Linked DNA regions of Arabidopsis thaliana. The protein of the gene in region 1 interacts with the protein of each later gene in a pairwise test. Each region holds a gene or a part of one and is shown in the gene's direction. Other genes may lie near its edges. The genes, in order: NF-YA8, AGL23, LBD40 and AGL86.

Region 1 (5,506 bases):
TTGTGTTTTTGATAGAGCAATGGTGTGAAAACAGAGAATCCTTGCGAGAAACATAATTCCAACTATTTCCATGTGTTGTTGTATCTTGCTCAGATGTTGAAGAGTTTGAAGAGACTAGATGTGACGGGATCTAAGCATCTCAAGCAACTTCCAGATCTTTCAAGTATCACGAGTCTTGAGGAATTGCTTCTGGAACAATGCACGAGACTGGAGGGCATTCCAGAGTGTATTGGAAAAAGGTCTACCTTAAAGAAGCTTAAGCTATCCTACCGTGGAGGGCGTAGAAGTGCCCTGCGGTTTTTTCTACGAAAATCTACAAGGCAGCAACATATTGGATTGGAGTTCCCAGACGCAAAAGTGAAAATGGATGCACTTATAAACATATCGATTGGGGGAGACATTACTTTTGAGTTTCGTTCAAAATTTAGAGGATATGCTGAATACGTCTCTTTTAATTCTGAGCAACAGATACCCATTATATCGGCGATGAGTCTGCAACAAGCACCTTGGGTCATCTCAGAGTGCAACAGATTCAATTCCCTCCGCATCATGAGGTTCAGCCACAAAGAAAACGGTGAATCTTTCTCCTTTGACGTCTTTCCAGATTTTCCCGACCTGAAAGAGCTAAAACTAGTGAACTTAAACATCAGGAAAATCCCATCTGGGATTTGTCACCTGGATTTACTAGAGAAGCTGGACCTCAGCGGAAATGATTTTGAGAACTTACCAGAAGCTATGAGTAGCCTTTCCCGGTTAAAAACTCTCTGGCTTCAAAACTGCTTTAAGCTCCAGGAGTTGCCAAAGCTAACTCAGGTGCAGACACTTACACTTACCAACTGTAGGAACCTTAGATCATTGGCGAAACTATCTAACACAAGTCAAGATGAGGGAAGATACTGTTTGCTTGAGCTTTGCCTTGAAAATTGCAAGAGTGTTGAATCATTGTCAGATCAGCTTAGTCATTTCACCAAGTTGACATGTTTAGATCTCAGCAACCATGATTTTGAGACATTGCCATCAAGCATCAGAGATCTTACCTCATTGGTAACACTTTGCCTCAATAACTGCAAGAAACTCAAATCGGTGGAAAAACTTCCCTTGTCTCTCCAATTTCTCGATGCACACGGCTGTGATTCTCTCGAAGCTGGTTCTGCAGAACATTTTGAGGACATACCAAACAAGGAGGTGAATACTTGGCTCTTGATCCGTCTCTACTATGATTGATGTAGTTACCCTTTATCATCTCCCTTCTTTTATAGGCACATACACGAAATGACTACTTCCAAGAAACTGAGATGTCGAGTTATGTACTGAAAACTCAAGCCACAAGAAATCGCCAAACCATCCGCCTTCCCAAGATCACACATGCGGTTATGTATGTAGGCATCCCTATCTGCATCACGCTAGTGGCTGCTCTTGTGATTTTACTCCTGCGTGTTTTCAAGTGAAACTCAAGACTCAGCAACAGCTTCCTCAAGACTTAAACTGTGTGCTTTCTTCTGTAATTTACCAGGTAGTAACAAACTTACTACATTTCAAGTCTCCCTTGCTTCTGCTTCTCTCTCTCTTTTCCACTCGCATTTTGGAACTGAGTTCCACTATATCCAAAGAACGCTTCAAGATTTTGTCCATAAACACAAAGAGTAGGCAGATTAGCTTTGCTTTAGATGCTTCAGCTGCCATATAGTTGCTCACTAGATTAGGCTTTTGACGATAGTTTTACTTTGTAAAGTGGATAGGCAGATAACTAGATAAGTGTTTACTTTGTTAAGTGAACAAAATAATAAGTCAATAAGATTAGAAAACTAATATATTAATTAAGCATTAAAAATACTAATGAAGGTGGCGGTACTGCTAATAATGGAGCTGGTGATTTTGTTGGAAAGGTAATGACTTTATAAGAGAGAAAATTGTGAGTGACGGAAATGAAGCATCAAAAGAATACACACACACACATACACACTGTTGAGTATCTATCTGAGAGAATAAGCAAAAGAGAAAAGAGATTTACTTTGTTTTGATAGGCATCCCTTGAGTTCCTGTTCTTCATCTCTTCCTTGAATCCGTAAGGTCTCTCTATCTCCTTCTCTTTGAATCCGTCATTTCTTCGCTTTTTTTTAGAGTGATGTGCTGATTCGGAAATCTTCTGGAAATTTCTTCCCAAGTCAACGCCTTTTAGGACGAAAGTAATGGTGCTGATTTTAGTTGGTCGGAACTTTACTTTTTTTTCTGCCGCGCTCTTCTAATAGTTTGCCCGAAATAGTTCTGAATGTTGCTCTGTTTCTGGGTTTTTTTCCCTTTTTGGATTATCCCCTTCTTTGTCTACTACATCGTCAAAGGTTTTGCTGTTTCCAGGAATAAATATCTTTTGAAAGTTTTATCATTTATAAAGATGTTCTGAATTTGGAGCTTCTTTGACAGACACATGTATCATCAATCTTCTCTGTTGAAGCAGAGAGAGAGAGAGCTAATTGTTGCCTCTGAGTCACATGGATAAGAAAGTTTCATTTACTAGCTCTGTGGCACATTCAACTCCACCATACCTTAGTACTTCCATCTCATGGGGACTTCCAACCAAATCCAATGGTGTGACTGAATCACTGAGTTTGAAGGTGGTAGATGCAAGACCAGAACGTCTTATAAACACAAAGAATATCAGTTTCCAGGACCAGGATTCATCTTCAACTCTGTCCTCTGCTCAATCTTCTAACGATGTTACAAGTAGTGGAGATGATAACCCCTCAAGACAAATCTCATTTTTAGCACATTCAGGTCCGTTTTAAACAACTTTGGGTTCTAGACAACTCACTATGATCTATTATGTTGAAGACGCATGGTGTTTTAGCTTGATCTTTGGTCCCATTTACGAAAGAATCCATCCCTTTGTCCTGAAAATGTTATCTTTCGCTCTCTTTCTTTCAGATGTTTGTAAAGGATTTGAAGAAACTCAAAGGAAGCGATTTGCAATTAAATCAGGCTCCTCCACGGCAGGAATCGCTGATATTCACTCTTCTCCTTCCAAGGTACCCGTATATCTACTACGAGTGACGATAAGCAGTACTTGTGATTGTTTACTGACATCTTGTGTTATACTCTGGTTTCAGGCTAACTTCTCATTTCACTATGCCGATCCACATTTTGGTGGTTTAATGCCTGCGGCTTACCTACCACAGGCAACAGTAAGTATATCCTCCTTGATTACATATGGTGAGGAGAATATTTATGCTAAACCTCATTTTTACTTAAGGTGGACTTGTTATGTAACATTATGCTCTGAAGTAGTTACATATACAGCTATAGAAAGAAATGCCATCCTTAAATGGTGAATTAGTCTTGCAATTTATTTCTCCATTTGAGATTTCAGTTTGCTTAAAAACTTTCTGCAGATATGGAATCCCCAAATGACTCGAGTTCCGCTACCATTCGATCTCATAGAGAATGAGCCTGTCTTTGTCAATGCAAAGCAATTCCATGCAATTATGAGGAGGAGGCAACAGCGTGCTAAGCTAGAGGCGCAAAACAAACTAATCAAAGCCCGTAAGGTATAGTATTTTGGTCAGCGTTTCGGTATCTTACTTTGGTTTAATGACTAAACATAACTCATTATCAAATATCATACAGCCGTATCTTCATGAATCTCGACATGTTCACGCTCTTAAACGACCTAGAGGATCTGGTGGAAGATTCCTAAACACCAAAAAGCTTCAAGAATCTACAGATCCAAAACAAGACATGCCAATCCAACAGCAACACGCAACGGGAAACATGTCAAGATTTGTGCTTTATCAGTTGCAGAACAGCAATGACTGTGATTGTTCAACCACTTCTCGCTCTGACATCACATCTGCTTCTGACAGCGTTAATCTCTTTGGACACTCTGAATTTCTGATATCAGATTGCCCATCTCAGACAAACCCAACAATGTATGTTCATGGTCAATCAAATGACATGCATGGAGGTAGGAACACACACCATTTCTCTGTCCATATCTGAGCCGGTGGAATCTGGTAATGTGTACGTTCCTACAAAAAAAGGGAAGTCATCCTTGGCTGCTACTTCGCTTATTAGCTAGTTCTTATTTCACACGCTTTGTCCAGATATCATTTGAATGACCAAAAACCTTCAAGCTTCAACTCTTTACTTTTCGTCTGTCGTTTGTACCATGGATCATCGTGTGTTAAGTCAGTGATTGGATTGGAGTGATGAATGTAAATGTAAATCTGATAACCGATAAGTCTCTGCTCTTTGCTTATTCATAGTTAGTAAAGCTAAACCAGATTCATACACTCCATTCCGGTGTTGTTTATATCATATATCATAGTCATAGAACACATTGACTAGAAGCGCAGCTTGGTCCCAATCCTCTGTAACAAGCCGTCCAACCACCTTCCCCGACCAAGTTTCTAACCGTCTGTAGATAGTCAGACTGCAGTTCCTATCGTTACTACTACTACTATTACTATCTTCCACATTTAGAACCTGCAGTCTAGTCTTTAATTATGTCACTGTAATCAAAGCGGAGACACTACCAGCAATGGCGGCAGTAACACCTTGAACAAATGTTCCCTAAACGCTTTTCTGTCTGAGTACCCCCGAGTTACAATCACTAGCAGTGTATTTATACACAAAGGGAATATCTCTTAACACAGATATGTTTCCAAAAACATACAAACATAACTAAAGACTAGACTGTAAAGGATGACGGGAAATTGCAATGTTTCTTTTGCAACACGTTTTCACCACGTGTCGATGTTGTTGACACATTAACTAACGCAAGAGTTATCCTTCTTTTGATCTTTTCCTTGATGTAATACTTTGGGCTTCAATTTTGGGCTTCAACTTTGGCCTTGTAAACTTGTTTGGATCAGTCAATAAAGAACAATAGTGACAAAAAAAAAAACTAATAATTTGAAAAATGATAAACAAAGTAAAATTCATTAAGCAAATGGCCTATCAACGCATGGACACAACAAATATTTAGTTCACATATATATATTTTTTCCTACCCAATATACCCCTATTAATAGTAGAACAGTACCAGAAAGCCACTGGCAAAGATAGGCATATGTACTAATGTACAGGCTTTGTTTTTGAAAGCACAATACTGATCTCCTAATCTGAAAATGTCCTAGCGATCGATCGGGTATAGGGAACTTTGACTACTTCAATCTGACCTTTCCAACAAGAACATGAAGTTGGAGTTTTGGCGGATCAACGGAGGAGGATCAACCTCTGCAACCTCTACGTTTTGCATCGATTTGGAGATATCGTCAAGCGAGAATGGGATGCTGCAAAAAGCAATCAAACCAAGACACATAATTTTTTTTATCAAAATATCAATCTTCTAAAAAGTGATTTGTTTTGTTAATGTTTCTTTCAAGGGTTTACCTCGAATCGTCGTCTAGTAAAAATGAATTGCTGATCGCGCTCTTTGATACATCTGACACCTCTGCCCGCATGGTTGCTATCACCTGCATCACCATTCTTGTGTCAAGCGAGGAACATT
Region 2 (4,219 bases), about 18 Mb from region 1:
CAAAGATGATTGACTATATTCCTCGGTTAATAAAGCCAATACATTACAATATATATGACGATATCTGAATGTATAACTCTCTGTAATGTAGATATATTTTTGGTTTCTATGGGGTCAGAGACAATTGCTGCTCTGTGGTTTTTACACACTTGGTTATTTATCGGATGTGTATAGTAGCTTAACATGCTTGATAATTCCATGTATGTGTTTAGAGTTTAGTTTTCATTATCAGATAGATATTAGTTACACTTTATATTGAGGTCCCTAAGTTAAACCATGCATATTCACTATCATTATTTCGGTAAAAGTTAATTATACTCAAGATGGTTTCTCAGTTTGGGGGAGTTGCAAGACTGTAGAAAGACCTTGATCTCCATTGCCTTCACTTCACCATGAGTGAGCTTAAAAGGTAACTTTCATTTTCAAAATGTGATCTTCTGTTATGTCTATGCGATCATTCTAAATGAAACATTAGTAACGTCACTGATATTTCAATACTCAAACTAAACAAACGGATAAAGAGAAAGTGAATTGACTAACAAACTGGTGTATATATGCTTTATATCCAAAGCCTTTTTTCGTTTTGTTTAAGTCGTTCTTATCTCCACTCTCTTTTTTATTTTCTTTGAAGGGCACAATATCACTATTGTATACGGCTTTTGTTGCTAAACTACTTTTTATAACCTATTCCCATGGTGGCAAGAATTTGTTAATGCAATTTCTGGAGAAATAAAGGTAATGTAGTCTCTAGCTGTAAGTAAGGAAATCACTTTAAGAAAATGCAGATACTATACAGGAAATTCGGCTACTCTTGAGAAAAGTCATCTACTTAGGCAAAAGATAAAGTGCAAAATTTAACGTTGATATCCGATATACATAGATAGGAACGAGTACAAATATGAGATTTGTTCTTTACAAAGCAATTTTACATGCACCACCAATACAATCAAAGAAAAATAGGTATCTGCCCAATGTTTTCTGGCGTTTACTTTAGCAAGCAAATCTTGCAATTCATCAAAATGTTTATGAGTTCTTGAAATCATTATAATAATATAAAATATCTAACTTATTTTCCAAATTTTGTCACTTAACATTTAACATTGCCACCACTTATTATAGTTAAAATTTACATTGTTGTAAAGAAATTTCAATAACAAAATATTTAAGAATATTATCCAAGTTTTATTTATTTATTTATATATTTTAATTATAAAACTCCAAATAAAATAAACATTTAAAATAATTAAAATACTATGGCATAGTATTAGAGTGAGTCGATTTCTAGTATAATCAATTATATACTTTTATTGTCAAAATATATAATTTACTCCTACAATGGTAATTTATTATTGTTATAATGTTTGGCATTCAAATTTGTTACCTTATGTGATTGTAAAGTAAAACATAAGATGTCGTCATGTGTCATGTTTAAATTGGATTAATATATTTAAAGATAACATAAACTAGTTTTTAACCTTATCTAAAAAGAGAGTTATACATTTATTTATTTAGATATTTTTAATATGACAATAAAAATTTGAAAATTCGGAGATAAAACATAATTTAATTATTTTTACATCAAAAGTCGGCAGTCTAAAAATTCAAAAGCAGGCGATTAAAAATAAATTATTGGACAACTTTTTTAATTTAGATATTTTTAATACTACAACAAAAAGTTGAAAATAATTTTAATAATGAATTATTATACAATTGTTTTTATTTAGATAATTTTAATCTTATACAAAATACTTGAAAAGGCGGCGATGACATAAAGTATTAAGGAACTAATTTAGTTGGATTCTTTGTAACATCCAAAAATAAAAACTTAGAAAGGGGAATCAATCTTAGAGATGTGTGAAATATATATATATATATATATATGTTTATCTCACAATAAAAACTTGAAGAGTCGGCGATCACAGTTAAAATATCAAACAACTATTACTTAATATGCAATAAGAACTTTGAAAGTCGGCGATCAAACTTAAATTTATATTTTTCAATTTTCTATATAATAAAAGGAAGTTGGACATAATATTTCATTAATGCATTATGAATTTTATATAAATCTTAAACACTTAATAATTATTTATTTTATTTTATAAGATTAGTTTGATTAATAAAAAAGGTTAAAAAGGATATTGACTATAGAAAATAATGGAAAAAATCCTTTAACCAATCATTGGTACCTATATTTGATAGGTTTGTAATAGGAAAGATATCCCCAAAATTTTTAATAACTTGACAGGCTGTAACAAATATAATAGCTAAATGATAATGTTATAGATAAAACTGTAATAATTATATACCTTTTATTGACAAAATCTGTAAATCTGTATCTAAGCCTTAAATGGTAATTTATAATTTATTTCTAATATATAAAATAGGAAATTATATTTACATTTAAAACTCTAAACAAATTTTGTATGTTTTTTTCTATAAATACAAAGACATATTATCTTTAATACAATCAATTCAATTTTTCTTTCTTCAAAACATCTAAAAAATGGTGAAAAAAACTCTTGGTCGTAGAAAGGTAGAGATAGTGAAAATGACTAAGGAATCAAACCTTCAAGTCACATTTTCCAAGAGAAAAGCTGGTCTTTTTAAGAAGGCTAGTGAATTTTGCACATTATGTGATGCAAAAATTGCGATGATCGTGTTTTCACCAGCTGGAAAAGTATTTTCTTTTGGTCATCCAAATGTTGATGTTCTGCTTGACCACTTTCGAGGGTGTGTTGTAGGACACAACAACACAAACCTTGATGAAAGCTACACAAAGCTTCATGTTCAAATGCTCAACAAATCCTACACTGAGGTAAATGTCAATTGTTGGCAATATCTAATATTTGTTTCTCTCTTATTTTTCGATTTTGATATTGAATATTATATAAATGTTTCACAATTCATGGATATTCTTAACAAATTCATTATTCGTGGATTTATTCGTAGGTGAAGGCGGAAGTAGAAAAAGAACAAAAGAATAAGCAGTCGCGGGCTCAAAATGAAAGAGAAAACGAAAACGCTGAGGAGTGGTGGAGTAAGTCTCCATTAGAACTCAACTTAAGTCAATCAACCTGTATGATACGTGTTCTTAAAGATTTGAAGAAGATAGTTGATGAAAAAGCAATTCAATTAATCCATCAAACAAACCCAAACTTCTATGTTGGAAGTTCTAGCAATGCTGCTGCTCCAGCAACTGTTAGTGGTGGTAATATCTCCACAAACCAGGGGTTCTTTGATCAAAACGGAATGACGACTAATCCTACTCAAACACTTCTGTTTGGATTTGATATTATGAATCGCACACCAGGAGTTTAAATAAGTCTATCCTCATTATGGGTCTTGGTACTATAAGTTCATCTCTCTCGTTGTTGACTTTTTAAGTCTCCAATAGTTTGTTGTGTCTTTTTTTTTTTTTTTTTTTTTTTTTTTTTAATTGTTGGTGTCGTATGTCTTTTAATTAAGTCTTGAGTCAATTGGCTTGTTGTTTCTTTTCGTTGTTCTTTGTGTCTTGTAGCTTTCGATGTTTTTTGGTGGAACATGAATAAAGCTATATGAAGTTTTATAATATTTTCATTACTGTGATCTTATATGTTTATTGTGTATATGGAACTATATATTTTTGAGGCATAGTTAATATTCTAGTAATTTCCCAAAGATCTATATAAGTCTAGTAATTTACAACTTTGATATGCTATATTAACTCAGCCAGCACAACCACAAAGCTATAGACATCACTCTTTGCTGTGAATTGGCTAGACTGAAAGTACTCAGGATCCATATATCCCATCGCGAAACTTTGGCTCGATATTTCTCATCTAACATGATGTTTGTAGACTTGACGTCTCTGTGATAGATTGGAGATGATTCAGCCGAGAGCAAGTATGAAAGAGCTCATGCAATATCCACTGCTATGCGGAGACGTACATCCCAAGTAATCATCGTGAAATCATCAGCTTATCGTGAAGATGCTCGAAAAGGTTGCCATTGGGAATAAACTCGTAGACGAGAAGAAGGACATTTGTCTCATTACGGAAACAACCTAAGATTTTCACGATTCTATGGTTAATCTGCGAAAGAATTACAACCTCATTGATGAACTCTTCTAGCTTGTCTGCGTCCACAACTTTGGGTTTCTTTACTGCTACAATTCTAGCATCGACAAGCATTCCCTTGTACACAGTACCTTGACCACCCTGACCAAGTATTCTATTTA
Region 3 (4,250 bases), about 19 Mb from region 1:
TTTTAAAGTTTTTGGCTCTTTCCACATTTTTAAAAATAAAAATATTTTTGGACATTTTTGCATGGCATCTTCACCTATCTCTCCTCCATTTGTCTTTCTTTTTTCAGTTCAGTGTATCATCAACAAGAGTTCACAAACTTTTATTTTTTACACATTCATGGCTTGTTTCTAGTTCTAGATTTGGATTTTTCTAGCTTCACTTTTGATAGAATTCGGGGGAAATAGAAATTGTTAAACCAAAAGGAAGAGTTAACGTTCGATTCTGTATCAGATAAATCTCTATAAAGGATTATATCATTGTATTATTCCAGCTAGCACATATCCATTTTCGTATTTGTCAATTAAGAGAATTTGTATTTATTTGTTTATTATAAGACGACAATAAGAAAGACGACAAAAAATTTTATTCGTATGCTTATATTTTGTATGCATCTATTTTTCTACCTCTTACCTATGCATTTTTATTTTAATGAATTATCATATCTGTTTGTCAATCACTTCTATAGCAATATGATAATTTGGTTGAAACTGTATTTATCCATACGTCTATCTAAACATGTATATATACCATTTGAATTTTTCAAAAACATAATATATATACATATAGGAATTAGGTTATTGACTTATTGTTTATCTTACAATATGTTAAGTTATTTGATATAGAAAATTATTGTACAACTTTATACAGGTCTTCTAAATTACCTGAAACGACAACAAATTTATTTCATACTAGTATATATCATATAGCATATATAGCTTTCACATTCGTCTGTAACTGGTCTTTCAGAAAAATTGACTCTATAGAGTCTACTAGCTATAGTTATGATTGTTCGCATGATTATATTATTAGTTAAAGTGGAGACAATCGTATTAATCGTGTGATAGCCGGCAGAAGAAAAAATAAATCGTTTTATCCGTTAAAATTATATATATTTTGTTTTACTGTATTTTTCTAGTTTTTAACTAAGTTTTATCTTTATATAAATAATTATAAATGTTTATATAATGTTTGATATACTTAAATAAATATTTTATCTAAACTTTGTTTGCGATTTGACATTTTTAACATTTTTGATAGATATTTATATATTTTCTATAATTTTAATTTTTAACTGTTTCTAAACCTTAATAATAATTAATAGATTGTGTGTGCGTTTTTTTCTTTATTTTATTAAAGAAGTAATAGAAATAATTCAAACATCACCATTCAATGATGGGTGTTTCAATGGAAGAAACTACCAAATCTAACCAATAAACGTTGGCATCTATTCACCTAAAAGTAAAAATTGTAGAGCCTATATTAGTCAAAGTGATCCATGCAGATAATTTATTAGTAGGTCTTTCGATATTAATGTTGATATATACTAGAGCCTATAGAAGTCAAAGTGATTCCATTAAGATAATTTATTAAGTAGGTATTTGGATATTAATATTAATTATCAGAATTATGTATGGAGCTACATAATGTGTAACCGCTCAGAAAACGCGGCGATTCGACCAAACTCTGTTACCACAATGTCTCCGCCACGCGATCACACTTTTGCGCTTGCATGCGAACGTTGAAATTCGAACCTCTCATCTCTCTATTTACCATTTTACCCTCTAGTAATTTCGTTTTCAAAATTTACTATCTCCAAATATTTTGGCAGTCCATTATTAATTGCCGAACATTAAACTGCGGTCTAGACAAAAACAAACGGCGGTCAGATATAAACAACTAACCAAAAAAATAAAATACTTGACTGGTTTTGGACATTTTCGTCGATGATGATCACGCGCTACGAATGAGAGCCAAAGACAAAGCTCAACGGGCTTCCATATATATTTCATATTTATTAGTAACTATTTTCCCCAAAAAAAAAAATATATATTATTAGTAACTACAAACAAACAAACAAAATGTATAAACCATGAAAATTAAAGATTTTAAAATTTTATAACTATACAAATAGTATGAGAAGCTTTGTTTATTTTTATAAACACATAATAACAGTTTGAAAAAATTACTTACCTAAATAAAGGTAATATTCTCGTAATTTACTAAAATAATTCATACAAAATATAAAAACAATTACAAAACTCTTCTTTTTTGGGCTCTTTACATCTTATTTATACTTTGAAAATTACGATATCCATTTAGAGAAAAATATAACATGCACGTCACAAATTTATTTATTTTTTGAAAAAAATTACACACAAAGAAAACGACAACTTCGTTCCTTGTTAATTGTTATGATCTCTCCGACCAAACCCAAGCAGCTTCTCCCTCTTAAATACCTCTTCCTTCTTCTAAGATCTCTGGACCATTCTGTACTTTCCCTCAAACCCAAAACACATTTTGTTTTTTGTTTCCCATCTAAAATGCGTATGAGTTGTAACGGATGTCGAGTTCTACGAAAAGGCTGCAGTGAAAACTGTAGCATAAGACCTTGTCTTCAATGGATCAAATCCGCTGAATCTCAAGCCAACGCCACCGTCTTCCTCGCCAAGTTTTATGGCCGTGCGGGGCTCATGAACCTCCTCAACACCGGTCCTGACCACCTCCGTCCTGGTATTCAAACTTCCCATGCATGTTATGTTTTTTGTTTGTTATGGTTAATTGCGAAGTTCTGGACGGAATCTCTCATACATCTTTTTAGGAAACGTAGGATCCTGTTTATTTTTCTAACATGCATCTAATAATTTGGTAATTTTGTTTGTTTTTGCAGCGATATTTAGATCATTGTTGTACGAAGCATGCGGGAGGATTGTGAATCCGATATACGGATCCGTGGGGTTATTGTGGTCAGGAAACTGGCATCTTTGTCAAGCGGCCGTTGAGGCAGTAATGAGAGGCTCACCCGTGACTCCGATCGCATGCGACGCAGCGGTTACTGGTCAAGCACCTCCTTTTAACAACAAGCTTTGCGACATAAGACACGTGTCAAGCAGGGACGAGAACGTTAAGAGACGGAGCCGTGGTGCATGCAAGGAAGAGAGAAACGTGAGGTCTTTGAGTCATGAGTCGTCACTGAGTCACGAGTCACCGGTGTCTTCTGAGGAGACGACGACGGAGGAACCAAAGACTTGGATCGGGCTTGAGCTGACTTTGGGGTTGGAGCCTTTAGCACGTGGAAATCACGTGGTGGTACCGATGAAGAAAAGAAAGTTAGAGAGGTGTGGCACGTCTGAGGATGAGGACACGTGTAAGATTGAGCTTGGACTGGTGTGCAGTGAGTGAATGGTTCTTTTTTTGTGGCTGGTCTTAATTACAAGTTTTGGTGTTGAGTTTTAGGTGTACAAATAGAGATTAACGAATCTCTCTTTTTTCTCTTTTTGAGTTTTATGTTTTGTTTTGTTTTCTTTTGCATGTTCGGTGTTCTTCATAAATATGTATGATGAATGATAAAGAGGTCTTAACTTAACAAATCTTGGTTCGGATCGACATAACAAACATTTCTTCTTTCCATTCTAAATTCTTGATTTTACTCATGTACTTAAACAAACGATGCAATTGATGTAAACACGTTTATCCCAATAAATTTTGTATTTTATTTATATAAAAAAAAACTTAACAAATCTTCTATTTCAGAAATATCTGGGGTTAGATTACAAAGAATCTAAGTTGCTTAATGATGAAATCTCCATATGATGATTAGTCATTCATTTATAAATATTTTGTCTCAAAAAGCCCTTTTGTATGTGAACCGTGTTACCAAATGACTCAGCAGCTAACATGCATGTGTGTTAGATTTTTGTTCTCGAAGGATATGTGTAGGAACTTAATTAGCTAGAGAAAACGAAAAGGATGAATTATTTTAACTAATTGGGTCGAAATGTGTATTCAGCAGAAAACATAGCCCAACTCTTTCGGACTTGAATCCTGTTTTGTCCATCTATCTTCCCCCCCTATACACTCAATTCTCATACTATCAGATATGCTAAAATAATTAATGCAGTTTCTAGCCTACAGATATTTTGGGCTGTTGTGACTTACTTTTTGATAAATAAGAAGATACTTTTGTTTCCATAAATTTTGATTTCAGAAACTAAAAGTATTATAAGCCAAAAAAATCAATAATATATGTAAAATTATTTGTATGGTGAGTCTGTTTTAATTGTAAAGCTATTCAGTAAAATGCAGTTTGCCAAAGTTAAATCATTAATTAATATATATTTTTTCGGTTAACGGATAAAATATATATTAAACTGCATTTTATACTTTTGTTTTTCCGTTAATTGCCAAAGTATAAAAATCATTCAAACTTTTG
Region 4 (4,415 bases), 5.3 Mb from region 1:
ACTCCAAGTAGAAGCAGTAGACTGTGGTGTTTAAGTAAAGTGCCTTCTGATACTTCTCCTTGATTTAGAGGGTCTTCCTAGTTCGATGCGTGCCACCTGAAGCTTCTCCTTTAAAAACCGTTTTAAAGACTGTATTAAGATTGAATATGGTTAAATTGATTTGGCTCTTCTGAAAATTTTAAATAAAAAGCTGAGATATTAAGAAAATAAGGTATATTTTAGGATATGCATATATTATGGGCCTAAGGTAATTTGAAATTAACACAAGCCTTAATGTATCTCTATCTGTACCTATCACCTACTAAGTATTCATTAAGATTTTTTTTTAGAAAAATGGCTTCCTAGCGTTCTATTTCAACTATAGGCTTCACTTCGTGTATCATCCCAACACTGACGAGGTTTTTTGGGTTGGATTCAAGTGTGTACTTCAACTAAGAACATATTTTTGGTGACCAGTTATGCTTACTACAACGTTCAGATAAGATCGACTATACCTTGAATTGTTTTAGTATGTGTAAATTAAATACATAGATTAAACGGATCGTGATTACCAAAAAAAGTTCTTATGTATATATATGGACCTTATTTAAGATATCTATAGTTAAACTTTTGAACATGACCTATAACTATAAGTAGCTTAAGTCGCCCCTAACTAAACATATAAATAAACATGAAAATTAGTGTTTTATGGCAGATGAAAGTTATTTATTATCTGAGCCAAAAATATACGGTGAGCTTGAAATAAAATTTAGCATTTAAAGAGAATGGAAATTAAACTACTACTGGATTGAATTATTTACCATTCTCTCATGTAATATCTTCTACTCTATAGTATTTTTATAACTATTTGAAAACATTTAATCAAAAATCAATAAATATGCTATTTATTTTAGAGAAATTTCTACATTTTGTAAATGTAATTGATAAGAAGAGAACCAGTCAAACAAAGTCTAATTAACGATGTGCATTCTTGTTTTTCTTATTTTTTGGTTATTGTTAGACCTCCATTTTTTTTGGATTCTCTCTCATTATAATCATACCACACAAAAAAAGTATGAGAGAAATAAGAGAAAGGTTCTTAAATAAGAACTTTTGGTATATTAACTTGAACTTTGGGTATATTACACTTGTCTTTTTTTAATTGGTTCATTTTTTGCTTTTAAACCAAAAATTAATATATAATTAAACTATATTTAAATATTAATACTTTAAAGTTTAGATATTTCTTTGGGTATGTAAAAACAACTGGAAGTTTTCTATACGTAGTCTAAAATCTTTAATTTCCCTATTTACAGCTTATAATTAGCTGGCAATGCAATGAAATATTCTAACCCAATAAAAGAAAAAGTATTCTCCAAAAGGTATAATATATGCATGATTTAACAAATTATCTCTAAACTAATTTATTACTGAGCCAAAAGAGGAAAGAAATCCATCTATTAATGTATAAAACAGTTATTTTATCCAAATTTCCTTTTAATTAGAATCAACTTAATGATTAAAAAAAATCAGGTGGACCTGCAGGCCATGACAAATGTTCTTTTAATATATTTATTAAAAAAGTTCATATAACCAAATCTGAGATTTAAAAAAATATATTTTTCTCTAATACTCTACTATTATATATTTTCATTTGTTATTATTGTAAGTATCAAATATTTTTACTAAATTAATTAATATAAATTTTAATGATATTTTATTATCTTATTATATTGGTTTACAAACTTCTTGGTATGTTCTCCTTTAATGTATATAGGTAGTTTAAAGATTTTCTTAGAAATAGAACACATATTTCGTGAGATTCATGTTACATTGTTTTCAAAAACTTTCGTGCTTTCTAAATATTTCGTAAGACTCACGTTATATTGTTTTCATTTTTTTTCTATAAATAAACAACTCTTTTGAGCTTGTATATATTCATGATTTTACATGTAAATTGAAGATGGAGTACTCTATTTAAAAAGAAGAAAAAAAAACACTTCAAACTATTACTAAATTTCATAGTTTATAAACAAAACTTTAAATTACTCTTAAAAGAAAAGTGAGAGTAATATAGGAAGATAAACTATTCTTAGTAAAAAGAAAAGAAAATCTATTCTTAGACATAGCTTTAATTAGTGGCCTCGTCAATTAATGAGACAGTAAACACAAAACAAATCTAATGAGTCCAGCAACGTGAAAAGCCACGTACTGTGTAAAAGCACAATTTTCATTTCTATATAAACAAGACAGTCTTGGGCCAAGAAAGTAAACAAAACACACACCAAAGAAAAGAAAAACAAAGATAATGAGGTCGAAAATTAAGTTATCACTCATAGCTAATAAGACCTCAAGGAGAACCACATTCAGGAAGAGGAAGGGAGGGATAACGAACAAACTCCATGAGCTAACAACTCTCTGCGGCGTCAAAGCATGTGCGGTAATCTCCAGTCCGTACGAGAATCCAGTGGTGTGGCCGTCAACCGAAGGTGTTCAAGAGGCGGTTTCCATGTTTATGGAGAGGCCGGCGACAGAACAATCCAAGCTGATGATGAGTCATGAGACCTACTTGCAGGACAAAATTACCAAAGAAACAAAGAAACTGGAGAGTCTACGTCGTGAAAACCGAGAATCTCAGCTTAGGCAATTTATGTTTGATTGTGTTGAAGGTAAGATGAGTGAGCATCAGTATGGTGCAAGGGACCTTCAAGATTTAAGTCTTTATATTGATCACTATATCAATCAGCTTAATTCAAGTGTCATGCTCCTTACAAACAATGGTGCGTCTTCTTCTTCCTTTCCTCCTCCGCTTCATACTTCAGTTGCGGGTGCGGGTGCGGGTGCGGGTGCTGCTCCTCTTGTTGTTGCGGGTGCGGGTGCGGCTCCTCTTGCTGTTGCGGGGGCGGGTGCGAGTCCTCTTGCTGTTGCGGGTGTGGGTGCGGCTCCTCTTGCTGTTGCGGGTGCCGGTCCTCCTATGGCTCAGAATCAGTATGAGCCGATTCAGCCCTATATCCCTACTGCTTTTAGTGATAATATTCAATACCAAGCTCCTGTGGATTTTAATCATCAGATCCAACATGGAATCTATGATAATCTCAGTTTGGATCCAAATCATCAGTATCCGTTTCAAGATGATCCATTCATGGAGATGTTGATGGAATATCCTTATGAACAAGTGGGTTATGCTGCAGAGCATGCACACATCCCTTTCATGAACGGAAACTACTACAACTACCACCAACCACCAACCGTTGGTCTTACTACCACCGGTCACATGCCTTCCAACAACGCCACCACCACCACCACCACCAACACCACCGTTGTGTGATGTGTTTCAGTAGTTTGCATTTGTGTTTTGTCCATTTCAAAAGACCAATCTCTAATAATGTCTTTTCTTTTCAGTTAATTGTTGTAAGAGTTGAAGGTTTTACCTTTAAGTCAGTTATATTTTTATGTATTGGGTAATGTATTTCTGCGCCGTAGAGCCGGATATTTCAATTATATTTGAAGAAGTTTGGTCATAAATTTGTTTTTACTTTGTTTTTTGTTCTTAAAATACATAACTAAATAGATCTGCTAAAATCAAATATATTTTGTTTCATAGAAAATCTTACTTTGGATATATTATTCGCAAAAACATCAATACTCTGTATATCTCTTTCTCAATCCATAATTTATTTACTTCCCACACCTACCTATATAGCGAGCAAATGAACACACTAAAGAAGTAAAAACATGAACATAAATAATGAACACACGTCTCAGCAAACCCAAAAGATTAACAATACAAACTGTAGCTTGTTTAGTGTTGAAAATTTGAAAAATCAACATGATAAAATAATGAAACTAAAATAAAAGGCAAGTTTTCAGTTATCTCTTACATTAGGATCCTACGAATCAAGTTAAATTAATTCTAGGATCCTTAAAAAAGCCAACACTCTGGACGTGTGGTTATGTGCGATCAGAACAAGAGATTCACGGGAGCCGGAGGTTCTTTCGAATCCATAAGAGCGCCTAAACTCTTCACTGTCTCCAAATCCTAGGAGCTTTAACTCTTCTTATGTTTTTTGTTTCAACATTGTAGTAGAAAATGTAGAAGGGTCGAAAATTGAGTGACAACCTCTTTGGGGCAATAATGATCTCACCAGCCTTGTTGGTGTCTGGAAATGACATTTTAGCACACTCAACATCATCCCAAAAAGAGGAGGGAAACACACATGTTTGCTTTGACCATTCATGTTTCTCGACGTCTTCTAGTATCCATAAATCGAAACTATGGAAACCGATCATAATGGTCGCTCACAATGGAAGCAAGCTTCCCTTTGTATTCAATGAATACTGCTTCACTTCCCCATTGCACAAAACCCTTAAGTGCATTGATAAAACTCAGTTTCTCAGTTCTAAAATGAAAACAAACCAAAACTGTCTCTTTAGTT

The links.
Region 2: the proteins of NF-YA8 (region 1) and AGL23 interact in a two-hybrid assay, tested with the Arabidopsis thaliana proteins (one large-scale study listed by BioGRID).
Region 3: the proteins of NF-YA8 (region 1) and LBD40 interact in a two-hybrid assay, tested with the Arabidopsis thaliana proteins (one large-scale study listed by BioGRID).
Region 4: the proteins of NF-YA8 (region 1) and AGL86 interact in a two-hybrid assay, tested with the Arabidopsis thaliana proteins (one large-scale study listed by BioGRID).

The regions. Positions count from the first base shown.
Region 1 is NC_003070.9:6,048,968-6,054,473, reverse strand, and holds NF-YA8 (nuclear factor Y, subunit A8), read left to right. Parts: upstream 1-1,845; 5' UTR 1,846-2,070; exon of another isoform or gene 2,071-2,421; 5' UTR 2,422-2,489; coding exon 2,490-2,772; intron 2,773-2,922; coding exon 2,923-3,023; intron 3,024-3,104; coding exon 3,105-3,179; intron 3,180-3,386; coding exon 3,387-3,542; intron 3,543-3,621; coding exon 3,622-3,993; 3' UTR 3,994-4,310; downstream 4,311-5,506. Other genes in the region: AT1G17600 (Disease resistance protein (TIR-NBS-LRR class) family), read left to right, coding at 94-1,185, 1,260-1,448; MYA1 (myosin 1), read right to left, coding at 5,165-5,288, 5,389-5,471. UniProt on the Arabidopsis thaliana protein: Stimulates the transcription of various genes by recognizing and binding to a CCAAT motif in promoters.
Region 2 is NC_003070.9:24,278,831-24,283,049, forward strand, and holds AGL23 (AGAMOUS-like 23), read left to right. Parts: upstream 1-2,506; coding exon 2,507-2,818; intron 2,819-2,952; coding exon 2,953-3,321; 3' UTR 3,322-3,403; downstream 3,404-4,219. UniProt on the Arabidopsis thaliana protein: Probable transcription factor that controls female gametophyte (megagametogenesis) development and chloroplast biogenesis during embryo development.
Region 3 is NC_003070.9:25,051,440-25,055,689, forward strand, and holds LBD40 (LOB domain-containing protein 40), read left to right. Parts: upstream 1-2,233; 5' UTR 2,234-2,361; coding exon 2,362-2,551; intron 2,552-2,708; coding exon 2,709-3,220; 3' UTR 3,221-3,425; downstream 3,426-4,250.
Region 4 is NC_003070.9:11,317,420-11,321,834, reverse strand, and holds AGL86 (AGAMOUS-like 86), read left to right. Parts: upstream 1-2,287; coding exon 2,288-3,307; downstream 3,308-4,415. Other genes in the region: AT1G31620 (uncharacterized protein), read right to left, coding at 3,941-4,018, 4,283-4,379. UniProt on the Arabidopsis thaliana protein: Probable transcription factor.